2 linked regions of the Sus scrofa genome follow. The protein of the gene in region 1 binds, or shares a complex with, the protein of each later gene. Links are inferred from orthologs where the notes say so. Each region holds a gene or a part of one and is shown in the gene's direction. Other genes may lie near its edges. The genes, in order: PRMT5 and WDR77.

Evidence for each region.
Region 2: PRMT5 (region 1) and WDR77 share a complex: the UniProt entries of both Homo sapiens proteins name them as parts of the methylosome complex. The link is inferred for Sus scrofa from reciprocal best matches to the Homo sapiens genes PRMT5 and WDR77.

The regions. Positions count from the first base shown.
Region 1 is NC_010449.5:76,107,437-76,118,343, forward strand, and holds the start of PRMT5 (protein arginine N-methyltransferase 5), read left to right. Parts: upstream 1-3,568; 5' UTR 3,569-3,573; coding exon 3,574-3,683; exon of another isoform or gene 3,684-3,919; intron 3,920-4,363; coding exon 4,364-4,482; intron 4,483-4,791; coding exon 4,792-4,877; intron 4,878-5,425; coding exon 5,426-5,560; intron 5,561-6,406; coding exon 6,407-6,519; intron 6,520-6,663; coding exon 6,664-6,713; intron 6,714-6,907; coding exon 6,908-7,071; intron 7,072-7,527; coding exon 7,528-7,689; intron 7,690-7,860; coding exon 7,861-7,938; intron 7,939-8,019; coding exon 8,020-8,078; intron 8,079-8,162; coding exon 8,163-8,285; intron 8,286-8,371; coding exon 8,372-8,547; intron 8,548-9,098; coding exon 9,099-9,208; intron 9,209-9,585; coding exon 9,586-9,679; intron 9,680-9,866; coding exon 9,867-9,983; intron 9,984-10,181; coding exon 10,182-10,246; intron 10,247-10,907. UniProt on the Homo sapiens protein: Arginine methyltransferase that can both catalyze the formation of omega-N monomethylarginine (MMA) and symmetrical dimethylarginine (sDMA), with a preference for the formation of MMA.
Region 2 is NC_010446.5:108,910,190-108,920,090, forward strand, and holds the end of WDR77 (methylosome protein 50), read left to right. Parts: intron 1-1,704; coding exon 1,705-1,775; intron 1,776-1,914; coding exon 1,915-1,969; intron 1,970-2,428; coding exon 2,429-2,500; intron 2,501-3,068; coding exon 3,069-3,177; intron 3,178-3,714; coding exon 3,715-3,783; intron 3,784-4,305; coding exon 4,306-4,465; coding exon of another isoform or gene 4,466-4,496; 3' UTR 4,497-5,405; downstream 5,406-9,901. UniProt on the Homo sapiens protein: Non-catalytic component of the methylosome complex, composed of PRMT5, WDR77 and CLNS1A, which modifies specific arginines to dimethylarginines in several spliceosomal Sm proteins and histones.

The DNA.
Region 1 (10,907 bases):
AGGGGAGCCCAAGAAAAGGTGAAAGGAGGGTTTAAAATGGACTGGCAGTGTTGAAACAAGGACATACAACCAGGAGCAGGTAGAACAACTGGGTCTGAAGGTGAGGAATGCTGGGTGTGGGTACTCCTTTCCTTCCAGAAAAGTTTCCAATGCTCCGCCCTGTTGGTCACCAGCTTTTGTTGGAGAAAATAACATTATTTCTTACCCATCATCTCCCTGTCTTCATCTCAGCAAAGGCCTGCATTCTATAATATAACAGTGATGGACATACTTTGGAGCACAAGAGTTCAGCATGAAGAGCAGAGCGGAGAGAAACAGAGCATAAGACAGACTCTACCGACTCTGGCTTTATGTCTAGGGCTAAGTCCTACAACAGGTTCTTTATTTCTTTTTCAGTCCTTCCCTCTGCTCGTCTGTAGCTCATATAGACAGACCCACAGTCCATGCTGTTCTTTAAGGCAAAGGAACATGCAATAGGACAGGTAGGGTGTGATGTGGTATGGAATTTCTCTGTTCAGCATCACGCTTGCCACACAGCGGAGGCAATTTTGAATGAAAAAACAAAGACATCCCAGACAAATGAAATTCAGCCCATCCAAACTTATTTTAAAGTCAGTTAGAAATTCTAGGCTCTTTTTACACAAATTCTTTTGAAAATTATTTTACTGATGGCAAAACTGACATTACCATTTCATAGATTTTCTTCTCTCCCTTTCATCCATGGATGGGTTAGTTAACAACCAACAGAGCAGCCACCAGCTTGACATTAGGAGGAAGATGCCAGGAGCACAGATGGTCCACAGCCCAGATAATTAGCTTCTGAAGACGAAACAACATCTAATAAGTCTTCTGTGAATGTGGAGTTTGGTTGGGCACAGTTGGGGGAGAGAAAAAGCAGGCCTGCCCAACAACTCTTTTTCTTCTTAAAATGTCAGAAGAGCACTCACCCACTTCCTGTTAAGTCCCTACTCATGAGACCTGCAGGGAAGAATTCAAATAAATATCGTAGACATTCCACCTCAAAGGAGGGGAAGAATAACTCCGCACTCCTTACGTGTGGAATGCACATAATGACTTCCAAAGAGTACAGGATGGAAAGGGGGAAGGCATGTAATTTTCCACTGGAGAGAACTGATAAACACTAGTTCTACCAGGTGATAAAGGTCAACATCAATAGTCATAAATCATGTTGATGGTATGTATTCTTGATATGACATGATGAAAATGGCACTTGAGCTCTGTGATCTTCCTCTCCCAAAACCATAACCTGAGTCTGATCATGAGAAAACCATCAGACAAATTCCAATAGAGGGCTGTCTTGCAGTAAACCTGACCAATACTACTCAAAACAATTAAGGTTGTCAAAAACAAGGAACATTTGGCAGTTCCTGCTGTGGCACATCAGAAACAAATCCAACTAGTATCCATGAGGATGCATGTTCAAACCCTAGCCTTGCCCACTGGGTTGGGGATTTGCCGTTGCCCTGAGCTGTGGTGTAGGATGCAGCTGGGGTTCAGATCCCGTGTTGCTGAGGCTGTGGCGTAGGCCAGCAGCTGTAGCTTCGATTCATCCCCTAGCCTGGGAGCTCCCATATGCCATGGGTGCGCTCCTAAAAAGCAAAAAACAAGGAACATTTGAGAAACTGTCATAGCCAAGAGGAGCCTAAGCAGACATGAGCAGATATGACAACTATATGTAACATGGTACCCTGGATGGGATCATGGAACAGAAAGAAGACATTAGGTAAAAATTAGGGAAATCTGAATAAACTATGGACTTCAGTTAATAATTATCAATAATAACATATCAAGAGTTCCCTGGTGGCTCAGCAGGTAAATGTACCATATTAACGTTAAGATGTTAATAATAGAGAAAGATGGGGGGGTGGAATGTGAGAACTCCTGTACTATCTCTGCAATTTTTCTGCAAATCTAAAACTTTTAAGAAAAAGTCTAGGAGGTGCCACTGTGGTACAGTGGGTTAAGAATCCAACTGCAGCGGTTCTGGTCACTTCAGAGGCATGGGCTGGATACCTGGCCTGGGAGGGAACTTCCATATACCTTTTTTTTTTTTTTTTTTTCCCATTAAAAAAGGAAAGAAAAAAAAGACAAATTCTAGTAATAGTAAGATGAGACACAAGCACCTCCAACTCTTTTAGGCTTCATAGGCATTTTCGTAGTTCTCTGACTTTCTGACTTTCATCCTTTTGGGGCGCTTACAATGTATTCCCTTATAGCTTAGCCTATCCACACACATTCCGTGTTTCTCAGGACTCTGTCGTCCACTGCGGCGATCTCATTCGGTCTCCTGGCTTCAGTCACTATCTCTCTTCTGGCGATTTGCAAATCTTGTCTGGTTCAGATCACTGTTCATACAACTCTCTATTACACAGCGCCCCCTAGACGTCCAAGTCAGCATTTCCAAACCCCAGCCTCGATTCTCCCTAAACCAGCTTTTATCATTTGTCTCGCTCAAAGAGGCCAGAACTCTGGGCATCACCCCCAGACTTCCCTTTCTCAGACTCCCTGTCAGTCGGTCTCTAAATTCTGTCAAGGCCTCCTGCCTAGGGCCTTTTGTATTGATTCTCTTTTCCGTTCCCCGCTGCCAAGTCCGCAACACCTCTGGGCTTCCTGCCTTCAGGTATTTCTCCTGCCTAGATCTTTTTTTGCTTCATTCCTTTCCTTCTTTTCCATCCCTCTAGCAAGCATGGAAAAGAAAAATGTAGAGACTCTTTCCTGTCTCTGCCAGTCAATTCATAACTTCTCTCCACTGTAATCTCTCACCATGAATTCCTTTATCTTCAGTGGTGTGTGTGTTTCAGTGTTTGCTTTTTGTATTTGAGATACCGAATCACAAGGAATTTGTGGCTGAATTGCCACAATCTGTTTAAAAATATACTAAGGCCCATTCAAAATCCATTTTAAGAGCACCAGCCATTAACTCAGTTTTCTTGGTGCATTTGGATGCACCAAGGCAGGGACACAAGAACCATCTTTGAACTAGGTATTATTAAACGCTGGCATGAAATAGTTGCAGAATGCAATAACATTAAGACCTGAAAATGAGAGCGAGAGAGGACAGCGAAGAAATTTTAAAAGGGGGCATTAAAGCATTGCAGGGGATGCACCAAAAGCGTTAGCCCCACCGAGCCAGCCAGGAGTCGAACCTGGAATCTTCTGATCCGTAGTCAGACGCGTTATCCATTGCGCCACTGGCCCTGAGACGACTTCTTCGTTCTCAATGATGACACTTCAAGCTTATACTGCAGGGTTTCATGGGACGTGTAGTCTCTTACCGGAATTTTACCAGTACATGAAGCATTATGGGAGATCGAAGTTTGTCGAGAACCAGACCCTGAGATTGGTGACTCTTCCGGAGCCGTGCCCTACGTCACTGTGCAGCCTGCGGATTGGCAGGAAGAGCCACTTCCCACCCCTCCTCCACTTGCTCGGGACCCTGGGAGACGCTTTGGTTGTCAGGGAGACTCGTCCCGCCTTCCGGGGGCTTTTTTTCGGCTTTGTGATTGGCTGCCAGTGTCAGGGAATCTCGGCGTGGACTGCGCGAGGGAAAAGATGGCGGCGATGGCGGTCGGCGGTGCCGGTGGAAGCCGCGTGTCCAGCGGGAGGGACCTGAATTGCGTCCCCGAAATAGCTGACACACTGGGGGCTGTGGCCAAGCAGGGGTGAGGGCCTGGACTTCCGCGAACAGAATGCGGGGTCGGAACTCGGGGACTGAGAGGGGCAGACCAGTCATCCCTGGGAAGCAGGGGTGAGGGGGTCGGAGTGGATAAGATTAGGGTGGGAGAAACCGCTAGTCCATGTAGGGAGAAGCCTCCGGCCCTGGAGCGTAAGAGAAAGAGAAAGAAAGACATATTGGGAACGTGTGGTCCCTGAACCCCAAAGTCGAGAGAGTTATCAGGTAAACTCAAAAAGAGGGCGTACGACCTCAAGGGCCCTGGAGAGCGAGGTGCGAGGTTCTTGTCTCAGAGTGGGAGGAAGTGTTATGGGGCTAGGGAGAGGAGAGATGAACCTTGAGGGCTGAAGCCTGGGTAGTACTGGAGCAGATCTGGATATGACAGTCTTGGAAAATCAGTGACAACAGAGTAGAAAGTCCACGTGGCGTGGATTTTCATCTTTTCTCTTTTCTCATCTTTTCCATGGCTCTGTTCTGGGAAGAAATTGAGGCACAACGCAGTGGAAGTGATATTCCCTAAAATGGGCCGAATTCAGCAGCCCATTCGAGTGACTGACTAATGGCAGCTGAAAGGGTTGTGCAGAATGGAGATAGCCTAGTCCAATTGCTTGGATCGCTGGGCACTGCTACTCTCTTTACATGACGATTCTGGGTCTGTCGTGGTTGTAGGTTTGATTTCCTCTGCATGCCTGTCTTCCACCCGCGTTTCAAGAGGGAGTTCACTCAGGAACCTGCTAAGAATCGGCCGGGTCCCCAGACACGATCAGACCTACTGCTGTCAGGAAGGGGTAGGGACCATCCCACATGCCCCTTAATTATTAGAGGCAGTAACAACTTATGTTTTATCAGTGCCTTCTTCCTCTTCCTTTCTTGACCTGGATGTATTTGTTCAACCCTGGGATATGGATAACTCTTGTTCTCTCCTTGCTTACTGCTCAAAGCCTTAGTTTCCTATTCTGCATCAGGCTTTCCTGTATCTGTGATAGAAAAAGCCTTTTGTCTCTCATCTCTACTATTCCCTGTTAAGAAATAGAAATTGAATGCATAAAGTGCTGAACCTCACTCAGTCTTTGTCTTTCTTGGGTTGGGGAGTGCAGACTGGAATACACTAATTGTGGGCAAGCTTTCCCCATGGATTCGTCCAGACTCAAAAGTGGAGAAGATCCGCAGGAACTCTGAGGCGGTAAGACTGACATCTTCACCGAATCTTTCTAAAGATCAGATCTGTAAACAACCTGGATGGGGAGAACAGATTTTTCCCCTCCATAACTTAGTAAATCTGATGTAATGCACTTAAAGCTGTTTGAGGAGTTCCCCTTGTGGCTTAGTGGTTAATGAATCAAACTAGCATCCAGTGGGGGAAAAAACTGTAACTGCAATGTATACATCTAAGGATGACCTGACCCCCTTGCTGTACAGTGGGAAAATAAAAAAAAAAAAAAAAAAAAAAAACTAGCATCCATGAGGATGAGGACAAGGGTTCAGTCCCTGGCCTTGCTCAGCGGGTTAAGGATCCGGCATTGCCGTGAGCTGTGGTGTAGGTTGCAGACATGGCTCAGGTCCTGAGTTGCTGTGGCTGTGGCGTAGGCCGGCGGCTTCAGCTCTGATTGGACCCCCAGCCTGGAAACCTCCATATGCCGTGGGTGCAGCCCTAAAGAGACAAAAAAAAAAAAAAAAAAAAGGTTGTTTGAGTTGCTAGCTCTTAACTTTGCCTCTTGTTCTCCATTCTAGGCTATGTTACAGGAGCTGAATTTTGGGGCCTATTTGGGTCTTCCAGCTTTCCTGCTGCCCCTAAATCAGGAAGATAACACAAACTTGGCAAGAGTTTTGACTAATCACATCCACACTGGCCACCACTCCTCCATGGTATGGCTGAGGGCCTCCTTTCCTGCTGCACATTATGGTAGTCAGGCTGTGCTAAATATCTTCTTTTCCTAGCCATTCAGTAAAGGGTGCATTAGGCAGAATTTAAATGTCAGTCCTGCCTACCCACAACTAAAAGTGGTAAGCAGAGACTTATAAAATACATAGCATATTCTATTATCTCCAGAAACTTATAATAAAGTAAAAGACAGGGCAGATACTTACATAAGGATGTACACGAGATACGTGTGCACATACATAAAATCACAATTGGGAAAAGCATGTAAGGGGATTAAGTTGAAATCTAGATCAAGATCTTTTTATTTATTTATGTTTAAGCTTTTTTTTTTGTCTTTTCAGGGCTGCACCTGTGGCACATGGAGGTTCCCAGGCTAGGAGTCAAATCAGAGCTGTAGCTGCCGGCCTACACCATAGCCACAGCAACGCCACATCTGAGCCGTGTCTGCGACCTACACCACAGCTCATGGCAACATCAGGTCCTTAACCCACTGAGGGAGGCCAGGGATCAAACCCACAATCTTAGCTCTTAGTGGTTCTTAGTCGGATTCGTTTCCCCTGTGCCATGACAGGAACTCCTGGATCAAGATCTTTTTAATTGAAAGAAGCTTCTGGACCCAATGAGTTCAAAATAGAGTTCTAAATAGGGCAGAGAGGTGTTTTCTTGTGGCGCAGTGGGTTAAGAATCTGGTGTTGTCGCTGTTGCGGCTTGGGTTATTGCTGTGGTGGGGTTTGATCCCCAGCCTGGACACTTCCACATGCCAAGGGCACGGCCAAAAATAAATTAATTAATTAATTAAGGTACAGAAGCTATTTATTGTTCATGTGCAGTTCTGGATGCGGGTGCCATTGGTGGCACCAGAGGACCTAAGAGATGATATAATCGAGAATGCACCAGCATCACACACAGAGGAGTACAGCGGAGAGGAGAAGACGTGGATGTGGTATGTCTCCTTCTGCTGCTGTGCCAGGGCAAAGGGTAGGGTGAGAGGAAGTACAGGGTGGGCCCTGCAGGAGGGTCTCCTTGAGGTATGGTGGTTGGTGGGCTATATATATTTGACTGTATTTTCCTGTGTTTGACTGAACAGGTGGCACAACTTCCGAACCTTGTGTGACTATAGCAAAAGGATTGCGGTGGGTAAGTCCATGAAGGTCCTGGCATAGGTTGTCCTTTGACCTTCTGTGATGAAGAATCGGGAATTTCGTGTATATGTGCTTGCTCCTTTCCCTGTGCCTCAGTCTGCCTTGTCTTGAGAAAAATAGATCTTGCACAAAAGAGCAAGGAGAGACTTCTGGCTTATCAGTGACTGACAGATATTTTCCCTTGTGTAGCTCTTGAAATTGGTGCTGACCTTCCATCTAATCATGTCATTGATCGTTGGCTTGGGGAGCCCATCAAAGCAGCCATTCTCCCCACCAGCATTTTCCTGACCAATAAGAAGGGATTTCCTGTTCTTTCTAAGATGCATCAGAGGCTGATCTTCCGACTCCTCAAGGTGTGTAGTAGAAAGGTTCTAAACGTGCTCCAGCTACTCTTCTTGCTGCCTTATTCACACATATATGTATGATGGATTTTTTTTTTTTTCTCTCTCTGTGGGGCTAACTCTTTTCCTTTCTAATTTCTGGAGAGCAATTTCAGCAAAGTTGGGGGTCTTGAGAGCAAAAAGACAAATAGCAGTAGGAGGCCCAGAAATATTTCAAAAGGAACCAGGTCTCATGAGAACTTTGCAGAAAGTTTCATTTAAGAAGTTACAACAAGGAGCCATGGGCCAGGATGATGCTTATGTGGCATAGGAGGGTTTGTGCTGCTTTTGTTGTTATTTGGAGGTATTTGTTGGACCAGAGAACTGCTGATCTGGGCCATATTTTATGCTAGAGCTCTTCGCCCACAAACCATAATAATATCCTCTTGGTTTAAAGATTGTGTCTGATGGTCTGACTTATCCTCGCAGTTGGAGGTGCAGTTCATCATTACAGGCACCAACCACCACTCAGAGAAGGAGTTCTGCTCCTACCTCCAATACTTAGAATACTTGAGCCAGAACCGACCTCCACCCAATGCCTACGAACTCTTTGCCAAGGGCTATGAAGACTACCTGCAGTCCCCACTCCAGGTGGGTCTGGAGTGCACTGAGAGGAGGGAGGTGGCGGACGGAAATGTCTCCTGAGAGCAGGTGCCTGAAAATCCTGACAAAGCTCAGGGAGCAGTGGGAAGGCTTTGGTACTCTGGTGCACTGTCCTTGCTAGAAACTGGCTCACTTACTTTCTCTTTTTCATTTCATCAGCCACTGATGGATAATCTGGAATCTCAAACATATGAAGTGTTTGAAAAGGACCCCATCAAATACTCTCAATACCAGCAGGTATAGTGTGGATCTCAGATTGGCTAGGATGACCTGGGTGAGGATGGCATTACAACCATGAGGTCTTTTCTCTTCCCCCAGGCCATCTATAAATGTCTATTAGACCGAGTGCCAGAGGAGGAGAAGGACACCAACGTCCAGTGAGTGCTCTCCCCATGAGCCCAGAGCTTTGCATGCCTGTGTCTCTATATGCCGAGTCAGCTTGACTCCTGTCTCTTTCATAGAGTGCTCATGGTGCTGGGAGCGGGCCGGGGGCCCCTGGTGAATGCCTCCCTGCGGGCAGCCAAGCAGGCTGACCGGCGGATAAAGCTGTACGCTGTGGAGAAGAACCCAAATGCTGTGGTGACGTGAGTAGCAACCTCCTTGTTGGCAAGTTTGTCCCCAGTGCCAGTTTTTCTTAGCTGTGTCCTCACTTGTATCATCTCTGTTTTAGGCTGGAGAATTGGCAGTTTGAAGAATGGGGAAGCCAGGTGACAGTAGTCTCCTCGGACATGCGGGAATGGGTGGCTCCAGAGAAAGCAGATATCATTGTCAGTGAGCTTCTGGGGTCCTTCGCTGACAATGAGCTGTCACCCGAGTGCCTGGATGGAGCCCAGCACTTCTTAAAAGGTGCCTCTAGGCTGGGGTGTATTGCATAAGGGGACTGGATTATCAGCTGGGAAGGTGGGAGCGGGTTGGGGAGGGATGGGTGTGGCAGTAGCCTAGAGGAAGCTGCAAGGTTTAGGGGAAGCGGGGAAGGCGGGTAGACTTGGGGCAGGAGCCTTAGCAAATGAAGCAGTCTCTCTGAACCTAGGTGTTCACGTCTGTAAGATGAGGGGAGGACCAGAGCAAAGACTCAATCTGAGGTCTGTGAACTCCCTGAGCTGACATGATATGTACCTTGGGCTTAGCTTTCATCAGGATCTCAGAGGACTTTGTATTAAGAGAGTTAAGAACCTCTAGACTAGAAGACCTTGGGTTCCTTCCAACTTTACTCTTGTGTGACTATAAATTAACCTAGAAGTGGAATCCCCCAGGACAAGGAGTAGGGAGCAGGTCGGCCTGAGAATGTGACAACACGAAACTGCTTGAGTCTTTTGATGTGGGAGGTCTGGGCCTTCACTGAGTACAGATACACTGTTTCTAGCCCTTGGGAAGTAATGTGACCTTCTGCTCTGCAGATGATGGCGTGAGCATCCCTGGGGAATACACCTCCTTTCTAGCTCCCATCTCCTCCTCCAAGTTGTACAATGAGGTTCGAGCCTGTCGGGAAAAAGACCGTGACCCTGAGGTGAGGCCACTCTCTTCTTCTTCTTCTTCTTTTTTTTTTTTTTGGCCATACCTGCGGCATGCAGAAGTTTTCAGGCCAGGGATCAAAACGAAGCCACAGCGGTGACATTGCTAGATCCTTAATCCACTGAGCCAACAGGGAGCCATTCTCTCTTGGAGGACTCTTCTCTCTTTAGTCCCTTTCTTTTTCTATATTAGCATAACTGTTTTCTTCCACTGGAGAAGATGAAGAGGTGAAGGAATAGTCGGGGATGTGGGAAAATAGTGGAAGTGGAACTATGTTGTGATCTTTAGTCCCCGAAGCTGGAGCTGTAGTCCCTGAGGTAATGAGTAGCCCTTGCCTGTCTTCTCCAGCTCTTGCTCTCTCTCTTGGGACAGGCCCAGTTTGAGATGCCTTATGTGGTACGGCTGCACAACTTCCACCAGCTCTCTGCTCCCCAGCCCTGTTTTACCTTCAGCCACCCCAACAGAGGTGGGTTCCTACATGGCTGTCCTCTGATGGGAAGGGTGAGAGGTTGCCCTCCTGGTTTCTTCCCTTGCTGTCCTGGGTCTGCTCTATCCGGCCTCTATCTAGGCTTCCTTTCCTGATCCTGCTCATGCTTTACCGAGAGGTCTATGGCATCTGGCCCCTCTTCACCCACACAGCTCTTCCCTGACAGATCCTATGGTTGACAACAACCGGTACTGCACCTTGGAGTTTCCTGTGGAGGTGAACACAGTGCTGCATGGCTTTGCAGGCTACTTTGAGACGGTGCTTTATCAGGACATCACTCTGAGTGAGTGTCTAGGGCAGTGGATGGGGTATAAGGGTATGCTACCTGGGCAGCTTATGTACATGTTTCTTTAAGAGTAATAGGAATCAGTGAATGGGGATCTTTGATTATTTGTTCTGTGTTCACAGAAGACACTTCTCAGCCAAGGCAAAAAGCAGAGTCACAGAGATCTCAATTTTTAAAATGACTTTGTCCACTTAGGTATCCGTCCAGAGACTCACTCCCCTGGGATGTTCTCATGGTTTCCCATCCTCTTCCCCATTAAGGTAAGAATCACTTTTAAGGCTCCTTGGTTAAAGGGTAACTGCTGTCTTTGGTGTTTTGCCTCTTCCTTTCTGCCAGAACGATGCTTGACCATGACCCTTGTTCTGTTGCTCTCGTGCTCTTGGATCCTGTTGCAGATGTTGGGCTATCTGCAATGGCCTTCCACCTGGCTTTCCCACATCTGCTCTGGCTATTCTTCTCTCTGTTCTCCACCTCAGGAAAGAGTCAGTCTTTTTAAAAAAGTGAATCAGATCATATCTGTCTCCTTTTTTTTCTTTTGTCTTTTTGCCTTTTCTAGGGCCACTCCTGCAGCATATGGAGATTCCCAGGCTAGGAGTCTAATTGGAGCTGTAGCCGCTGGCCTACACCAGAGCCACAGCAACGTGGGATCTGAGCCGCGTCTGTAACCCATACCACAGCTCATGGCAACACCGGATCCTTAACCCACTGAGCAAGGCCAGGGATCGAACGTGCAACCTCATGGTTCCTAGTTGGATTCGTTAACTACTGTGCCACTACGGGAACTCCATCTGTCTCCTATTTTAAAACCTTTCAATATCTTCTGCACTGATGTGAAGATAAAGGTCTTACATCCTTGGGAGTTCCCATTGTGGCTCAGTGGTAATGAACCTGGCTAGTATCCATGAGGACGTGCGTTTGATT
Region 2 (9,901 bases), on another chromosome or scaffold:
TTGAACCCGCTTCTTCCTGGTTACTAGTCAGGTTCACTGCTGCTGAGTCATGACAGGAATTCCTACTGAAGATAGTATCTAGAGCATTAATGTGTGTGTGGCTAAGTGATGTAGATGGGGTGATTGATCACTGGTTCCCTCAATGGCTAAGTGCCTTTCTTTGCCAGTTCTCACTGCTAAGTGCATGATTCAGATATGTTGGGAGCAAAATCACAAACTCATCCGTCTCTTGGAGCTTCAGAGCATATATTTAGACAATAATGTTCGAATGTCAGTGCTCAAAGTCTGACATACTTACTTTGTGTTTTCTAGATGTACAGCGTGTTTTCCTGGTCAGTGCTAAGGAACTTTTTCATTGCCTGCCACCTTTAGCCTTTTTCTTTAGTTCTTTGTGTTTGTTCTTACTCTCTTGCGCTGATTCCAAATCCCTCCAGGGCAGAGGAACCACATATCTTTTCATCTTTGTACTTTCCCATTGCGTTTGTCCCAAAACTTTGCTGTTTTTAAGGAGCAGTATGTTGCTTTTCATCATGTTGCTTTTGCATGGATTCTCTGGAGGATGGTTTGAGGCCCCCCTCTTCCGTACCTGGGCGGAACCACATTCAGACTATCTCAGAAAGTCTGGTTAGTTGCTTTAGAGAAGGTGGTTTCCACAGCCTTTAATTAACACTTAGCATTGACCTTGAACATTTTTAGCCTGTAGCCCTAAGGGAGTCTTGAAAAACTGTACCCTTTCACATGTTTTTAAAGTGGTTTCTAGTTTAAATTGAGCTCATCGCAAAGAAAGTTGTATCTAGCCGTGCCATTTACGGTACACTTTTTCAAAATATGTTTGTCAGAATTTTGGATTTTCAGATTAAGCTCATTTGATTTATGTAAAAAATCTACCAAATAACCTAACTGCCAAAAACCAACTGTGTGTTAAAGTTGGCCAAGTGAGACTTGAGCACTTTTCTTGAAAAATCTGACACTTCGTTTTTAAATTCGTATGGACCTGTTAGGTGTCTTTATGTGACCACATGCCATATTTTTCAAAATTCTCATTATTAAACAGAAGAGATAAGCCACAGAACCACTCTAGGATTTGTGATGGGGATGAGAAAGGCCAGCTTCCCCCACCGAATTTTACCCAGATGCCCTTTCTTTTTTGGTCAGCTCTTCGGGCAAGCCCCTTTTGTTTTCTACCTTAGGTTTCTAGACTCCTGAGCATCGTAGCATGGTGGGCTTGGGGCGGGTGAGAGGTGCGTGTTTCCTTCGCACGGTGGGAGACGGGTGACTGAGGGCAGAGGTGAGCAGTGCTGGCAGCCTCTACATAGTGTCTCAGTTCAATGTGGAGAGAGAGCCTTGGAGCCATTCCCTCTAAACTCTCGGTGTCCAGAGCTCCCTCAGAAGTCTTCGTATGCGCCTGGAGGCACATAGGCCTCTGCTCTTCCACGGTCCTTGCTGTAAGTTCCCCTACTGTTTTTACCCAGCCTTTAATTTATCTTTCATGTCTGTAGTGATTCATTTTTCCCGAAGCCTTTTGAGGTTTTATAATGCTATCAACATTTCCTCTTAGGTTTTGTCTTATCCCAAACGCTCACGGAATTTGTTACATGGCATCACACGACTAGGCTTGTTTCTCACAGCCTCCCTCCTACCCCTTGATAGTGTCTGGACTGCCTCCATTTCTCCGTCGTATTTCTTGTTCTCTCTCCTCTGCAGCTCACTCTGGGCAGGTCACCTGTGTTGCTGCCTCTCCCCACAAAGACTCCGTGTTTCTCTCCTGCAGTGAGGTGAGCTAAAGCCTCTTTTCCCCTTCCCGCCCCCTAAGCGCACCCAGACCCTGTGGACCTCAGTCAGGTGTGGAGGGCTTCCGGCGAGCGGCTGCTTCCTTGGATCGTGAAGCCCTTTTTCTGTCCCTTTTTCTTCTAGGACAATAGAATTTTACTTTGGGATACTCGCTGTCCCAAGCCAGCGTCACAGATAGGTGAGTCTGAGAGCCGGTGGTGGGAGAGTGAACAAGGACCGAGTTCTCCCAGGAGCCCACCTGGAAGAGGCTTTCCTGGGCCAGAGTCAAGGGCGAAGGCGGCCCAGTCACTGACCCAATGGCATAATTGCTCTCCTACCCACTGCAGCTCTGTTGAGCCAGTTGATGCCGTGGGTCCCACAAGGAAGGGCTGGTTCCTAGGTGGGCGATGTACCTTATGTTGCCTGGATGAGGGAACGAAGGGGCCAGAGTTGTTCTCTTCCTGCTTTATCATTGAAACTTGCCCGTGACTCATGTCTGGCAGGGGCAGGAGGCTGATGGGGAGGTGCAGGTTGTGAGGGTCAAGGAGGAGAACAGACGGCCCTGGCAGGACTCACGATACCGAATAGGGTGCCGCCGGGATTTAGAGTGACTTCACCCGAGCAGCTTTGTCTCAGACCCTTCTTCTCCCCTTTGCAGGCTACAGGGCCTCTGGCTACCTGCCTACCTCGCTGGCTTGGCATCCTCAGCGGAGTGAAGTCTTTGTCTTTGGTAAGGCAGCGTGTGAAACTGTGGGACGACTCTGGGAAGGGGAGGATGAGCGAGAGAGCCCTGGCTGCCCACTCTGCCCACTTGGGCACTAGATGAGTTGTGCTCATGGGGGCGGGGAGGCGGAATGATCCGAAAGTGGTTTTGGTTTAGCTTTGGAGAACACGATGATTTTTTTCTTAGTAGATTTGACTCCTGATTGTCTGCTGTGGCTCTTGTGTTCTGGCATAGCTGGAAGTCAGGGGCCACAAAGCGAGTGGATTGTTACAGGGGGATTCTGTTGTGTGGAGGGGGTGGTGGTGCTGACGTGCCGACGTGGCTGTGCCTGTAGGTGCATAGTTTGTAGGAACCTAACAACTATGTCATCGAATAACCTAATAACTATAATTAACCCTGTTAATTTAATTTTCACAACCCCTAGATGACTAATCATTTCTACTTTACCAAAGAGGAAATTGATGCTTAGAGTGGTGAACTTGTCCAAGATTGAGGAACGAGCATCCAAATCCAGGCCTGGCTGAGTCCAAAGCCCATGCTCTTACCTCTGTGATGTCCCCCCTCTTTCCTTCAGGCGATGAGAATGGGACCGTCTCCCTTGTGGACACCAAGAGTGCAAGCTGTGCCCTCAGCGCAACTGTGCACTCCCAGAGTGTCACCGGGCTGGTGTTCTCTCCACACAGGTACTGTTCTTTGTCGTCGAGGGCCTGGCGGGTGTAAATGGGAACAGTGAGGGGAGATGCCTGTGTCGGCGGAGCACTGGCCGACTGGGTAGTTCCTTAAAGCAGGCACTGTTGTAGCTGAGCTTTCGGAATCTCAGTGAGGGGGCTCTTAACACTGCAGTCCTTTTGGGGGTTGTATGGTCTCTGACTGCAAATGGCTGAAATTCGGTGTTGTTCCTGCTCAACACCCACAGTGACTAATATTGTGGGCTTCTAGGGCTGTGTGGTTGGAAGTTGTTTCTGGGTTATTGATGAAGCTGTGGGGAGGGACCCAGTGAGAAGGTTAGTTGCTGGGATGCTTCTCAGCCCTGGCTTTGCTCCCTTTTCCTCATCTGTCTTTGAAACGTATACTGTAGACTTAGGTGTAGCCAGACCTTAGCCTTAAGTGGGGTTAGGCCAGCTGCTCCGATCACTTTAGAGTCGGGGTCTGGGGGCCAGTGAGGTTTTGCATTGGGGCCTGTGGGCTTTACCTCCCCCCGCCACCCCCTTGTCTCCTAGCACTCCCTTCCTGGCTTCTGTGAGTGAAGACTGCTCCCTCGCCGTGCTGGACTCGGGCCTCTCCAAGGTGTAAGTGTGACGTGGAATCCTGTGATCGGGAAGCAGGGCGGGGAGCAGCCGCTGGCTGGGTCCTTTTTCTCTTTGGAAAAGTGTATTGTCTCTTTCCACGGGACCGGGTGATGGAAGCAGGCTTGACTGTCTCCCTTGTTCGGGGCTGACTCACAACCAGCTCTGTCCCTGGCAGTGGGGGAAGGTGGTGGGGTTGGGATTTCCGAGTCTGGCCTTCCAGCTGTCTCCCAGAAAGGGGCAGTCTACCCTCCTCATGTGAAGAGCTACACGCAGGCAGTGCAGCGTGCTGTAGGGCGAAAGGCACCAGGCAGAGATTGGAATTGCACTTCCTTCTTTGCTGTGGTCCGCTGTCTGATGCTGACTTGTGTCATTACCTTTACTCTGGCTCTCATTTCTTCTATGAAAATCGGGCCCTGGATTGGACTGTAACACATCCACAGGACGTGCCCTGGGGTGTCGGGTCCGTTTCTTGGTCCCTCCTGTCTCTCTTACGTGCCCACACTTTTCTTTTTTCTCTTGTAGGTTTAGAAGCCGAGCCCACAGAGACTTTGTGAGAGATGCTACCTGGTCACCGCTCAATCACTCCCTTCTTACGACAGTGGGCTGGGACCATCAGGTCGTCCACCACATCTTGCCCACAGAACCTTTCCCAGAGCCTGGACTTAAGAGTGCTGCCGAGTAGACTGGATTTAAGACAAGCAAATCCCCCATGAGTATCTGCTCCCTCTGCCCCTGCCCACTCAGTTTGTGAGACAACACAGGAGCCTTATATAGTGTGTTGACACACCAGATCTGTTAATAGGCATTGTCTCTCAGCCTGGGGGAGGCTGGATCTGGGGTCCTGTAGTCACAGAGAAGAAAAACTTCCTTGAAGATGGACGTGTGTGTATGTGTCTGAGTGTATGTGTAGATAACATAATTTTTTTAGCAGAGATGAATAAAAAAAAATGCATCCCGCATCTTCCCCAAGATCTAACCCCCCTCCCCCCACAAGAAGTTGGCAGAAGGTTTTTATGCCTCCCATGTAGCTATGCTTGAGGAATTGACTGTGTCTTGGTAAGGTCTGGGCTGTGGGCATTGCTGGATTCTTGGAAGCAGCTCGTGACTCGTCATAGAGATAGGAGCACCTTTATTTTTTTAATAGAGCTTGATTCGCCTTTGTCATGGGCAGTGCTTCCATTCACAGAAGTCCGGCCCAGCTCACCTTGAGGAAGAGCCAGGACACTTAACATGGTTTTGCACATCTCTTTGCCATTAGACTGAGCCGAAGTCCAGTTGCTGGCTGAGTAAGAAGTGTGTGATGCCCACCCCCCGTGAAGTTGTGTATATGAGAGATGAGTGTATTTCTGTCATAGATGCCATGGGAAAAAGTTTCAGGAAGGTGGAGAGCTTAAAGGCACTTCAGTTAAAAACTGACACAGACTTTCATAGGAATGTCTGCCACTTTCCCACCTGAAAACAGCCTGGGGCCTGACCTTTTTTGCCTCTGGGTCCCTGCCTCTGGATCTAGGAAGCCTGAATGTTATTTTGGGGAACTCTGAAGATTTTAAATGCAGCAAGAGAGAGAGAGAATCGGAAATACTGGTCAGTGAAATAAAAAGTTGATTCATTGTTGGCCTGTCTTTTGAGGTGTGTGTCTCATGTGCAGTTAGACCTGTGTCACTTATGTGTCATCTGGGTACCAGTCCTATAGCCCGTTATTTTTTGTGTGTGCTTCCCCAGCCCCACGGAGTAGTTGGAACTTAAGGCAAACGTTTGGTTATTTGGTTGGTGGCTACTGCCGCTTAGAAGTTATGGGTCAATTACTGATTGCATTGAAACTAAATGCAATCAGCTATGTACTTTTGTGCTTTCCAAGTTTCATTTAGTGAAAATCCCATGAAACCGCCCCAGTTTCATGGGCAAAGTATTGGTAAGTAAAGCTTCTGTGTTCCACCCTTGCTGAGCACGAGCTCTATTCTCACAGTTACCCTCTAGTAAAAACAGGGCAATTTGTAGTCAGTGGATCTGTCTACTGGGTTTGCGGGGAGGTAGGAAGGAAGCTTCACTGTTCTTAACTCTAACTCCCTGGGAAGAATTGGTGCTTTGGTAGAAACACTTCCCAGAGGCAAAAGCTTAAAATTTGTGGTCATTTACAGAAAGGAGGTAGGGGGTGAGGTGAGTAGGAATTAAACCTGCATTGGCCTGTTGTTCATGGACTTCAGAATGGTGGAGAGAAACTCAGAAGAGACGAATTCAAGGAAACCAGTGCTAGTCTGTCAAGGTGCTTAGAGTGACATCGAAGGAGGAAAACCTAAGTTTTTGAAGAACCACGTTACTTAATTTAAAAAATGTTAGTTTGGATTCAGATCTGGGCTGATGAAGGCAATTCACATCGATTAGTGATGGCCACCAAGACATTTGTAAAACTAATTGAAGTCACAGTAGGAATGACCATCACAATTTTGGTTAAATATCTCTCTTGTGAGAAAAAAGCTGGTTCAAGATAAAAGACGACCTCCAAATAATCAGAAATGTAGCATCACATGTAGGATTATTCACAGACCCTTGATTTGAGAGTAGTTTCAGTAGAGTGAGCAGACTTCCCCTGTGACGGGTGGAAATGGGCTCCTTTTTTTTTTTTTTTTTTTTTTTTTTGGTTTGTTTGAAGTCATACAAGCGTGTATTCTCCATTTAGTTTCACTCGTTCCAATGTCTGAGCACCAGGGAGTAGACCCATTTCCCTATCTTCATTGTTCTTACTCTAAAATCCATTAACCAGACCCATGATGTTCCCCTGCTGATTTCAGGTGCTCAGAACACCAAAGGCTGAGGTTGGCTCAAGTGCAGTTGCAGGTGGCTCCAGACATCAGGCTGCTTCTCCAGGGTCTCTCCTGCCCCGCAGAACAGTAGGAGGCTGGTCATTAATTACCAGCTACGTGAGCATTTCCTGCTGATTTACAATCGCACTATTGGCAGCAAAATCACCCAAGCTCTGAGTGCTCTGGGCTTCTAGCCATGTTTGTTCTAGGCTGCATGATAGAAAGGGCTGGAACTTGGGAAGATTTAGGTGGGAGGGTCCCTGCAGTTTATTTTTCAATCACGCAGCTACAGAGTGATTACCTCATCCAGACCTAAAAGAAAAGGGCTCTGACTTTTAAAAGGCAGATTCTTGTTGCATTTGGACAGCACAAATGATGTGCTTTCATATTTTTTTTTGTGTTTCAGTGGTCACTTGACTCAACTCTAGCTACAAACTAGAAGAATGGGAAAAAAAGATTTGTTCCAGAATATATGAGCATTTCTTTCACTAAGGCATATACCAAGTGTTTCTATGTATTCCGGGGCAGTTTTAGGACATCAAAGAAAAGCCAGCATACATGAAAGAAGCTGAGCGAATTCTTATTGGATCTCCGTTCATAGCAAGTTTCTTAGCTGCATATCTCTGGGTCACACTGAACTTAAGAATCACTCGTGCAGGAAACAGATTTTTTTTGGAAAAAAGATAAGCAAGCTCTAGTCTAGTTTCACAATTTGCGTTGTGAGGGAATTCAAATTTTCGAGAACATCAGCTTTCTATATAGCTTGATTTTGGGAAAGTAAGCAGACCAATCTTAAACCCAAAACAGTCTCTTATTGAGTTCTCTATCAAAAAATGGGCAGTTGTGGAGTTTTTCTTCCTCATCACGGGGTCACAGGATTAGTACAATCCAGAGAGTGACGGAGATGTAAAGATCAAGAGAGGAAGCAATAACTCATTGTAAGTAATAGAGGCACGTAAGATATAATCATTGATCCTAAAATCTTTCATCATCTGGGTAAGTTTTAATGCAGTTCTACTTATTCTGGAAACCCTCCTTGTCTTGTAAATGTTCTGCTGCCTCAGTGTATAGTATAATAAATCATCAAAATTCAAAAGATCAGTAAATAAAGAGTTTAACCCCTAAACACCATCCTTTTAACTTTATAGTGGCAGCCTAGCCAGTGCTACTTGTTGAAAGTTCCCTCAGTGAATAAAGACATTTCATTATCACTGTGGTGCTGGGTGTCAGATTCTGGAATATTTCACTTTGGGAGGCACCATGTTATAAGCAATAGGAACTTCAGTTTCAAATTAAAAGTTTTTACTCCAATAATAAATCTCATCTGGGATCACAGTGGAAAGGAATGAAGCTTATTTGGATTAGAAAGTGTTTTTTACATGTACAAGCTAAATCAGCTTCAAGTTCTGCCAGATCTTTTAACAAGCAACTTGTCTTTTATAGAAACCCTCTGAGTAGGTTAGAAACTGGCTGATCAGTACAGGCCCCTGATCATTATCCAAAATCAACTTGCCTGGAAGTTAATATTAACACTACCTGACCTTGGCACCTGCCATCCCTGGGCTCCTATTGGCAGATTCCTCATGGCAGGATCAACTTGAGCCTTAGTTATCTCTTTCTGTTTTTTTTTTTTTTTTTTAGGCATGACAAAATATTTAAACTTACCATTTTAACTATTTTAAGTGTACGATTCAGTGGCATTAAGTATACTCACATTGTAATGTAATCATTTCCACACTCCATTATCCCAAATTGAAACTTCATGCCGGTTAAGCAATAACTCCCTCCTCCCAGGCTCTGACAACCTCCATTCTACTTTCAGCTCTATGAATGTGACGAGTCTAGGTGCCTCTTATGAGTGGAAGTGTTTGTCCTCTGTGTCTAGTTTATCAGTTGATTTTATAAGGTGTTGACTTGCTCCTCAAAGCGTGGTCCATGGACCAGCAGCATTGACATCATCTGGAACTTGTTAGAAGGGCAGAATTTATATTTTCACAACTTCCCTAGTCACTCCTGCATGTTAAATTTTGTGAAGCACTGGCTCCGATTAGCTTTTGAGAATTCTAGGTGGTTCAGGAACCAGGCAGGGAAGTCACCAGTCATTGAAGAGTGAGTAGCTGTGGTGTATCAGAAGCTTTCAGGCAGTGTGGTTTGTGGTAGTGAGCAAGATGGCAGCCCAGGCTTCAGCAGCCTAGTCAAGAGAGAGAGAGAGGATGAAATTAGTGTTTCAGTGCTAGCCAAAAGAAATAGATTGGTAGAAAACAGAGGGATCATAACCAGTCATGAAGCAGTGGCGAAGTGACATTTGAATGGAGCTCTCAGGGTTGAATGTGGGTTGGCTGATGTTTGGGGCTAGGGAGGCATTCCAGATGGAAGTTGCTGTGTGGAAGGAGCTTTGAGCTTCCTGGACAAGGAGGACACTGCAGCTACTATTAAAAGGAGATGAGACTAGTGACAGCTGCATGGTGGATGCTGTGAGCCTCAGTAAGGATCTCAAAAGTAACACGTACCTCAGAAGTAACATGTTCCATGTGCTTTTTGGAATGGATTCCATTGCTGTGCTTTGGAGGGAAGACTATGGATGCTTAAAGGGGACTGGTTTTTTGTTTTGTTTTGTTTTTTTCTTTTTTTTTAATTTGATCTGAGCCACTAGATTAGCCTTGGCCATTTGGCTACTCCCACCCAGGAGTTAAATCTGGAGGGAATGCTGCAAAGATTCAAAGAATGGGTATCTGGCAATGACAACTAACAGCCCAGTGGCAGCAGCACCATTACCAGTCCCAACAGGGAACTTCCTAATCAGGCTTCCAGTGACAGGACCCAGGCACTGTCCTTTATAGTCTTTCTTGGATCCTGCCTGTGTTTTAAGACTGATTCTTGAAACTGAGTTGTATGAGCTGTTTATAAATTTTGGAAATTAACCCCTTATTGGTCACATCATTTGCAAATATTTTCTCCCATTCAGTAGGTTGTCTTTTCATTTTGCTGCTGGTTTCCTTTGCAGTGCAAAAGCTTTTATTTTATTTTATTTATTATTATTTTTTGTCTTCTGTCTTTTTGAGGGTCACACCCACAGCCTACGGAGGTTCCCAGGCTAGGGGTCTAATCGGAGCTGTAGCTGCCGGCCTTCGCCAGAGCCACAGCAACACCAGATCCAAGCTGCGTCTGCAACCTACACCACCGCTCATGGCAACGCCGGATCCTTAACCCACTGAGCGAGGCCAGGGATGGAACTTGCAGCCTCATGGTTCCTGGTTGGATTCGTTAACCACTGAGCCATGATGGGAACTCCCGGGTCTCATTCTTTTACATGTAGC